Linked DNA regions of Saccharomyces cerevisiae S288C. The protein of the gene in region 2 binds, or shares a complex with, the protein of the main gene of each other region. Each region holds a gene or a part of one and is shown on either strand. Other genes may lie near its edges.

The links. The genes of interacting proteins can lie anywhere in the genome.
Region 1: RTC6 (region 2) and MRPL28 share a complex: the UniProt entries of both Saccharomyces cerevisiae proteins name them as parts of the mitochondrial large ribosomal subunit.
Region 3: RTC6 (region 2) and MNP1 share a complex: the UniProt entries of both Saccharomyces cerevisiae proteins name them as parts of the mitochondrial large ribosomal subunit.

The regions. Positions count from the first base shown.
Region 1 is NC_001136.10:1,384,401-1,387,097, forward strand, and holds MRPL28 (mitochondrial 54S ribosomal protein mL40 MRPL28), read left to right. Parts: upstream 1-1,672; coding exon 1,673-2,116; downstream 2,117-2,697. Other genes in the region: TFIIH/NER complex subunit TFB3, read left to right, coding at 1-376; MFA1 (mating pheromone a), read left to right, coding at 776-886; CMI8 (Cmi8p), read right to left, coding at 1,124-1,366; STP1 (Stp1p), read left to right, coding at 2,416-2,697. UniProt on the Saccharomyces cerevisiae protein: Component of the mitochondrial ribosome (mitoribosome), a dedicated translation machinery responsible for the synthesis of mitochondrial genome-encoded proteins, including at least some of the essential transmembrane subunits of the mitochondrial respiratory chain.
Region 2 is NC_001148.4:197,188-199,895, reverse strand, and holds RTC6 (mitochondrial 54S ribosomal protein bL36m RTC6), read right to left. Parts: upstream 802-2,708; coding exon 520-801; downstream 1-519. Other genes in the region: tRNA (34-2'-O)-methyltransferase regulator RTT10, read left to right, coding at 1-401; MRN1 (Mrn1p), read left to right, coding at 2,108-2,708. UniProt on the Saccharomyces cerevisiae protein: Component of the mitochondrial ribosome (mitoribosome), a dedicated translation machinery responsible for the synthesis of mitochondrial genome-encoded proteins, including at least some of the essential transmembrane subunits of the mitochondrial respiratory chain.
Region 3 is NC_001139.9:373,579-376,252, reverse strand, and holds MNP1 (mitochondrial 54S ribosomal protein bL12m MNP1), read right to left. Parts: upstream 1,167-2,674; coding exon 582-1,166; downstream 1-581. Other genes in the region: NPY1 (NAD(+) diphosphatase), read right to left, coding at 1-152; DNA-directed RNA polymerase II core subunit RPB9, read left to right, coding at 1,426-1,794; DNA-binding transcription factor AFT1, read right to left, coding at 2,169-2,674. UniProt on the Saccharomyces cerevisiae protein: Component of the mitochondrial ribosome (mitoribosome), a dedicated translation machinery responsible for the synthesis of mitochondrial genome-encoded proteins, including at least some of the essential transmembrane subunits of the mitochondrial respiratory chain.

The sequences.
Region 1 (2,697 bases), on a different chromosome or scaffold from region 2:
GTTGAGTACGACCACCCAGGATATCAATGAAACAATCGAAGGCGTTAAAAATACGGTTAAATTGAAAAAATCGTCCGCTAGAAGGAAATTGGAAGAACTAAATAGAGTTCTGAAAAACAATCCATATTTCAATTCAAATGTGAACGTACAGAATTCGAGACTCAAAGATGCTGTACCGTTCACGCCGTTTAACGGTGATAGAGAAGCACACCCAAGGTTTACGTTGAAAGGTTCAGTATACAATGACCCATTCATCAAAGATCTTGAGCACAGGAAAGAATTTATTGCGTCTGGGTTCAACACTAATTATGCGTACGAAAGGGTGTTGACAGAGGCATTTATGGGCTTAGGATGTGTTATATCCGAGGAGCTTTAAAACATCAGGATAGTGTGCAACGTGGCATAAGCTATGTAATCAACTACTTTTTATTTTCTATGTACGCATATACATGCATTCACGATCTGTTTCAGTGTTCAGAAAAAAGGCACCTACTGCTACGGTTGGCCCATACCTTTATTCTTTGTTCTTGTTACAAACGAGTGTGTAATTACCCAAAAAGGAAATTTACATGTTAAATGAAACCCAGTAATCAGAAAAAACAGTTAAGAAACCTAAAATGGTAGAGATAAAGATACAGATTCAGTGGTTGCTGAAAATCAAGTAAAAAAATGAAATAGAGTCTTCATATATAAACCGCCAGAAATGAATTAATGAGAGGGATCTGTAACTGTTTCTCGGATAAAACCAAAATAAGTACAAAGCCATCGAATAGAAATGCAACCATCTACCGCTACCGCCGCTCCAAAAGAAAAGACCAGCAGTGAAAAGAAGGACAACTATATTATCAAAGGTGTCTTCTGGGACCCAGCATGTGTTATTGCTTAGTTTCTGCGTACAAAAACGTTGTTCTCCCTCCTTTATCTTCCTTTTCCGCTACACCAATATATCATGTTTGTTCGTAATATTTCTTTTTAGACCTAATAATAAATATCCTAAGTAACTATATTATATAAAATATTTTGATACCCTGTACCTGCTTTTGTTATCGTTGTACATCCATGCACACGCTCATATATATATATATATATATATATATGTATATGTACATATACCGCTTACCACCTACCGTGAAGTATATGTAAGGGTCTTCGCACCCGGATATCCCTTGTGGGATCTTGGATGCGGATGGTGAGTGTAAACAGGCCTCATAAAGCTGTCTCTGTGTGCGGAAGATGTCGTTTCATCGGCTTCGACCTCCTCCTTATCTTGCTTCATTGTTTCTTCGTAAGAGGGCGGATCTACGGGCAGCGGGGTCGCTGTCTCCTTGTATGCATGCTTATTTATATCACTCTTTCCGCTATCCATCATAATCTGTTTTTGTTTATGTGCTTTGAATACTCAACACATAAAATAATATCCAGTTAATTGTCGTCTGTCCATTGACGCTTTGCCTTTGTCCCTTTAGACTGTCTTTATTGTGAAATATGCACGGCTGAGAATTACGTATACAGTGACTATCGTATGGGGCGACAAAAGTTCCCAGCGAGAAACAAGATGAAGCAGACTGGGGCCTGCCTGTATGGAGGGAAGCATAAGTTAATATACCTCCAGATATTTGCAGATTAGGATACTGAACTGACGAAGACCTACGCTACACAACGAAGATAACACATGCTGGCACAAACATTCAAAAAACCACACAGAGCCGTTCTAGAACAGGTATCTGGGACCACGGTCTTCATCAGAAATAAGAGAACAAAGAGCAAGAGCTCACTGTCACCTTTGGCACAAAGGGTCGTCACGCAGTTGAGTGTGATGTCTGCAAGCAGAAAGCAGCCCAAGTTGCTGAAGCTGGCGCGTGAAGACCTGATTAAACATCAGACCATTGAGAAGTGTTGGTCAATTTATCAGCAGCAACAACGGGAGCGCAGAAATTTACAGTTGGAATTACAATATAAGAGCATTGAGAGATCTATGAACCTTCTACAAGAACTCAGCCCTCGTCTGTTTGAGGCTGCCAATGCTTCCGAGAAGGGCAAGCGATTCCCGATGGAAATGAAGGTGCCCACTGACTTCCCCCCAAATACGTTATGGCATTATAACTTCCGAAAATGATAGCGTGAGCGAACGCTTGACTGTCTCCTGCTGTAAATAACTGATGATCAATAGAATGCCACGTATATATGGACTTATATAATTATATGTACATAGACATATAAAGGGCATGTGGTAATTATGACATGAACTGTATCACTATTGACGTTTTTTTTACTGCTTTTTCCCATCCCTGCAAGCGAAAAAAAAAGCAAGCTGACTCTTGTATAAACTGCAAGGACTCATTGATTAAAAGTAGATTTACATTACAGACTAAAGGAAAAGGCAAACTATACCGGCTATACCACATTCGTTCAAAAATGCCCTCTACCACGCTACTGTTTCCGCAGAAACATATTAGGGCCATTCCAGGCAAGATATACGCGTTCTTCAGAGAGCTCGTCAGCGGAGTTATTATATCCAAGCCAGATCTAAGTCATCATTATTCTTGTGAAAATGCGACAAAGGAGGAAGGCAAAGATGCAGCAGATGAAGAAAAGACTACCACAAGTTTGTTTCCCGAATCAAATAATATAGACCGTTCTTTAAATGGTGGCTGCTCTGTGATCCCTTGCTCCATGGATGTCAGCGATTTGAACACG
Region 2 (2,708 bases):
ATCAATCTGGTGTCAAGTCCCTAGACTATGTTGCTAATGCTACAAGAACTTCCGCCACAATTTTGACAGGGGGTGATGATAATGGTTTAGGGTTAAGCAACCTGAAATTAGATGACTCGAATAAAGTAACGTTAAAAACAAGTGACTTTATCGCTGCAGCAGCTTCTTCGACAATAACGTCCGGTATGTTGATTAATGGTGGCAAAGAAGTCATTACCACATCGGTTGATCAAGTAATACGCGCTTGGGAAATTACCGCAGGCAAGCTTTCACTGGTAGATAAAAAGCGTACCACTGTGGCGGATACAGGATCATTAGAAATCATTTCCAATGATGAAGATGCTGATTCTGAGAAAACGTTACTGATCGGAGGTGTTGGTTTATCAATTTGGAAAAAATGATACAAAAAATTAACATATACATAAAAGAATATTATAGATATGTATTATTTACAGATTTTAGAAAATGAGAATATTTTGTAAACACCCGAACGGAGAACAGCGAAGAGATTTACATCTTTCAGCCTTGACGCTGTTTGTGTTTTTTATTCGACTTGCAATAAATGTATACTCTTCCCTTTCTTCTTACCAAGTAGCAATCACTGCAGAACTTTTTGACAGATGTTCTGACCTTGAAACCTCTGTTAAAAACCAAAGGTCTGTTAGCTGCAACAAGAGCTGGTTGCGGAGCTGCAACAGATAGGAGGCTGGGCACTGTGCAGGCCCTTGTTATCGTTATGGGGGACGGTTTCATGTGCAAAAACATCCTTGGCATAGTTAGGCGGAGAGTCTGTAAAAACATTCTTTGAAATCCTTTCGCTTGCTGAAAAATTCTGAGATTTGTACTATGAACCGTAGCCGTTATATGCGAGTAGATCGAGGCTATATCCCAATGCCAATAGTTCCACGATTCATTCCCTTTCTATTTGGAATAAGTGCGAAGACAGAATTTTTAATTTCGGCTTGGGTGAGAGAAAAAAAAAATCATAGTTTCGTTACGCAGATAGTAAATAACTAATACATAGATAAAAGCACCACCTTCTACCGGACCGTCGTCATTCTCGGCAACACCGTTGAAGTGTTTATGACTACGCTTTTTTTATCCTCACTTTTGGAATGCCCTTGAACTATGGACCTTTCACTCCCTATTGACAAATTCAAAAGACAAAAAAGGGAAACACTTGGAAAAGGTAACTTGACGTCCAATAATACACGCCGAATGAGGGCAGACTATGTCTTTCTTCCAACTGCCGTGGCAGTTGCGTACTTATCATTCTTATGTTCTTACAGTGGGATTCCACCATCATGGTAACCCGGTGCTTTTTTTCCTTGTGGTACGATTTTGGCTATGAGAAGAGAAAGAAAAGACAGAAAAAAACACGATCTTGAAATTAACTTTACCAGAAAGTGGATCTTGTGGTTGTCCGAAAGTCTACAAAGAGATTCAGTCACAACCGCAATCATACTCCATCCCTTCGTCACAGCAATAAATTAATCAGTTTCTTTGCCTTTGGTGGAAAGTAAAAAAAACTAAACTTGGTTCAGCACAGCGCTATATCTACGAGAACACCGTTGCCCACTCTTATACATTATTTTCACAGAGTCACATTCCCCACTGAATTCTCTCCTTAAGCTTCCTTTCTCTGTTTATTTTACCAATTTACAATTTCTAGAACTGATAGTCTCTGTACCTTTCCTTTAGATACACATACGCTTCATTTCTTTTGAACATTGTATTCTTCTATTTTCTTCGTTCTTCCGTTATTTGATATTTGCCCCTTTTTAAGTCTTCTGACTCACCTGTTCTGCTTTACCAATTAGGCTCCTTAATTGGTTCAACTGTCCATTCCAGCCTCATATTTTTCACTTTATCTTTCTTCATCATTTTTTTTGTCTAATTAATATCCGTTTCCAACTTCAATTCTCAAGGACACTCTTTTTTTTTTTGAAAAAAAATATCATATTTTTCTTTGCTAATACTATTTTATTTTTTCAATTCTGGTCGTTGAAGCCTTTTCTATTCAGATATTTCCTAAAGAAAAACAAAGAACTATCGTTGTATTTTTTTTTTTCTTCACCATCACATACTACTTCAATTGCATTAAAACATGGTGGTTTCTTATAACAATAATAATAACAATAACAATAACAATAACAATAATAATATCAGTAATAATAATAACAATAATAACATGTTCCCTCCTTTTCCTTCTTCCGATGACTTTGCAATGTATCAACAGTCCAGTTCTTCCGGCCCTTACCAAGAAACTTATGCGAGTGGCCCTCAAAACTTTGGCGATGCTGTGTATCCTATGAATGGTAATTTTACTCTTTTACCATCCGACTTTACACGAGAGCCTAATGATTCGTTCTTTTACGAGAATGACGGAATTTTTGATTATCAGCGTATTCAACAGCAACCAACTCAATTCCAGACAAAGCAGCGAAATGATTCACAACAGCAACGGTTTTCACAGGAACAAAATTTCGAAATTGATAACGAAGTTGTCCACAATAACAATCGTTATTATGAATATGAAAGGTCATCAAATGAAGTCTCTCCTTTTGATGATGAGAATCCAAATGTGTTATCTGATGGCATGTCACCCACTATTATGGCAACTGCAACTGCAGTAACCAACGCAAATGCGCCTTTACCAGTTAATGCACAAGCCAATAATCCTTTGAATTTTACATCGGCCCCAAGTA
Region 3 (2,674 bases), on a different chromosome or scaffold from region 2:
TTTTCGGGCGAAATGAGGGCTTCCCCTTCGATAAATGGGATAAAAACGGTAGAGTCATGGTTCAATGATTTTTTGATGAACTCTTTCGAACATCTTAAGAACGAAACTCTGTTCAAGACATGCTGGCCAAAAAAAGTCACAGCAGTGGACATTCTCTCAACTAACCGTAGCGTAATCAAAAAAAAATCAGGAGCAAAAAGGTACAATCTTTATCTTCTCTTTCGTTTCGCTCCTGCTCTTGTTCTTTATTCTTATGGTTGGTGGGCTTTATATTTCGAAGAAAAGCAACCGCTTTTGTAAGTTGGAAAAGTAGATTTATGAAGTGATAGATTAGCCCGTCTGAAATACTTATAACACGAAAACGAATGCCATAATGAAGTTGAAGATACTATAGAAAATAATAAGGAAATCAATCATTTTTATACATCTACTTGCAAGAAGCGATGTGGCAAAATATATAAAAGGCAGGACGAAAGAAGAATAAAGAGTTAAACATATTTACATGATATATTCCTTATTTTCTCGAAGAGAAAACAGACTATTTTGATTAACACGATTGGTAGATTGCTACAGTTTTAAAATCATTCTAAACTGACCTTAGCTCCTAAGTCTTCCAAGGTTTTCTTAATCTTTTCAGCATCATCCTTGGCGACATTTTCTTTCAAGACCTTTGGTGCAGCTTCAACGAATTTCTTAGCTTCAACTAATGAAAGCCCCAATAATCCCTTGACTTCCTTGATGACTTTAGCCTTAGTCTTCGTGTCGAACGAGTCCAACTTCACCGTAAACACGGTCTTTGCCTCAGGCTTAGCTTCTTCTTCAGCACCACTACCAGCTTCACCAGTGGAGCTAGGTACATTACCAGCACCTGCGCCTGCAGCGCCTGCCATGAATCCGCCCATAGGCATGGAAATTTCTGGAATGTTCAATACGGTTTTCAGCTCGTTGATTAAACTGGAAGTTTCCAAAAGAGTCAATTGTGAAATGTCCTGTACAATTTTAGAAATTTTAGGATCAACTGGCCTTACATCATCCTTATGTGATGGTGCTGTTGTAGTCGTAGAATTGAAACGGGTTGTGATAGTAATAGGAGAAATTAGCGCTGGTGTAACGCGCGTTTTCATCCAGATAGAAGAAGATCTCTTCGCTAGTATACGTAAGGACATACTGGGCGCTTATTTAATTGACTGTGTTTGCTGCTGACGGGCTGCTTGTCCTGTTCCTTCCAGAACTTACCGAGTTCTTGTTTGCCATTAGTTTGAGTTGTTTTATTGGACTTCAAGACATAGGGCGGGTAAGTTGAAAAATTTTGTTTTGGTGAATAGCGTTAAAGAGTAAGTCAAATGGAACAAGAGCAGATTCTAGGTAGAACGAAAGTTACAAAATCTAGCCAAAAGAGCAAGTTAAACTCCCCTTAAAACTGCTATGACTACGTTTAGATTTTGTCGTGACTGCAACAATATGTTGTACCCTCGTGAGGATAAAGAAAATAACCGGTTGTTATTTGAATGCAGAACATGCTCGTATGTAGAAGAAGCGGGCAGTCCATTGGTCTACAGGCATGAATTGATTACCAACATTGGTGAAACTGCGGGAGTGGTGCAAGATATTGGTTCCGATCCCACTCTTCCGAGATCTGATAGAGAATGTCCCAAATGTCACTCTCGGGAAAATGTGTTTTTTCAATCACAACAAAGAAGAAAGGATACTTCGATGGTTTTATTCTTTGTGTGCTTATCTTGCTCACACATATTTACTTCAGATCAAAAAAACAAAAGGACGCAGTTTTCATGAGTGCTCAACGAACTTTCAAAATTAATGACAGAGGGAGAGAAAATGGGACTTATCTTCACGTATGTCTTGTATGTATGAGAAAAGCACTACTATTTACACCAGCCTAATCTACCGGCAAAAGGATGATGTGAAATAACAGGGGGAAGGAACATGAAAAAATCCTGATCTTAGCACCGATATATGTAATATAATAAGAACGATTTTTTATCTGTAACAAAAGTAGAAAAAAGAATGTATACTATTGTTTTCTTTTTCTTCTTTAAAAAGTCAAAATTGTATAGATGCGTATATGTTCAGTATATAATTAATGAAGAAAGATGAAAATGTAATGAAAATGGACGAGAGATACGTCTAAGTTTGATTTCATCTATATGCTAATCTTCTGGCTTCACATACTTCAACTCGCCGTTCACCATTTTAATGTCTTTGAACTCTTCCAATAATGTGTTTCCCATTATTTCTAGCGATTCATGCGTTTGCATATCCTTTTGTACTGTTTGGTGCTGTTCGTGGTTATGGCCGTCGTGGGGCTGATTTTGGTGATATTGCAATTGCTGCGGTGGCTGCTGTTGCGGACCATATTGATGTGATCGTACTTGAGGTTCATTAGAGCTGAGATGACGATGGTCAACATGTTGAAAATCTATAGGATGTTGAGAACCGTGTGGGCCATTTTGTACAAATTTCAATTCGTCGAAGATTTTTGTTGAAGAGCTGCCAACTAAAGCTTCTTGTCTTAAAAGTGAGTTGCCCAGATCAGAAACGTTATGCTGAGTATTTAGCGAATGTGAATTGTTGTTTGGAACGCCGATGTTATTGTGGTTAGCAGCATCGGAGTGCGTCAAATATTGTAGAATATACTCATTATGTTCTTGGGAAC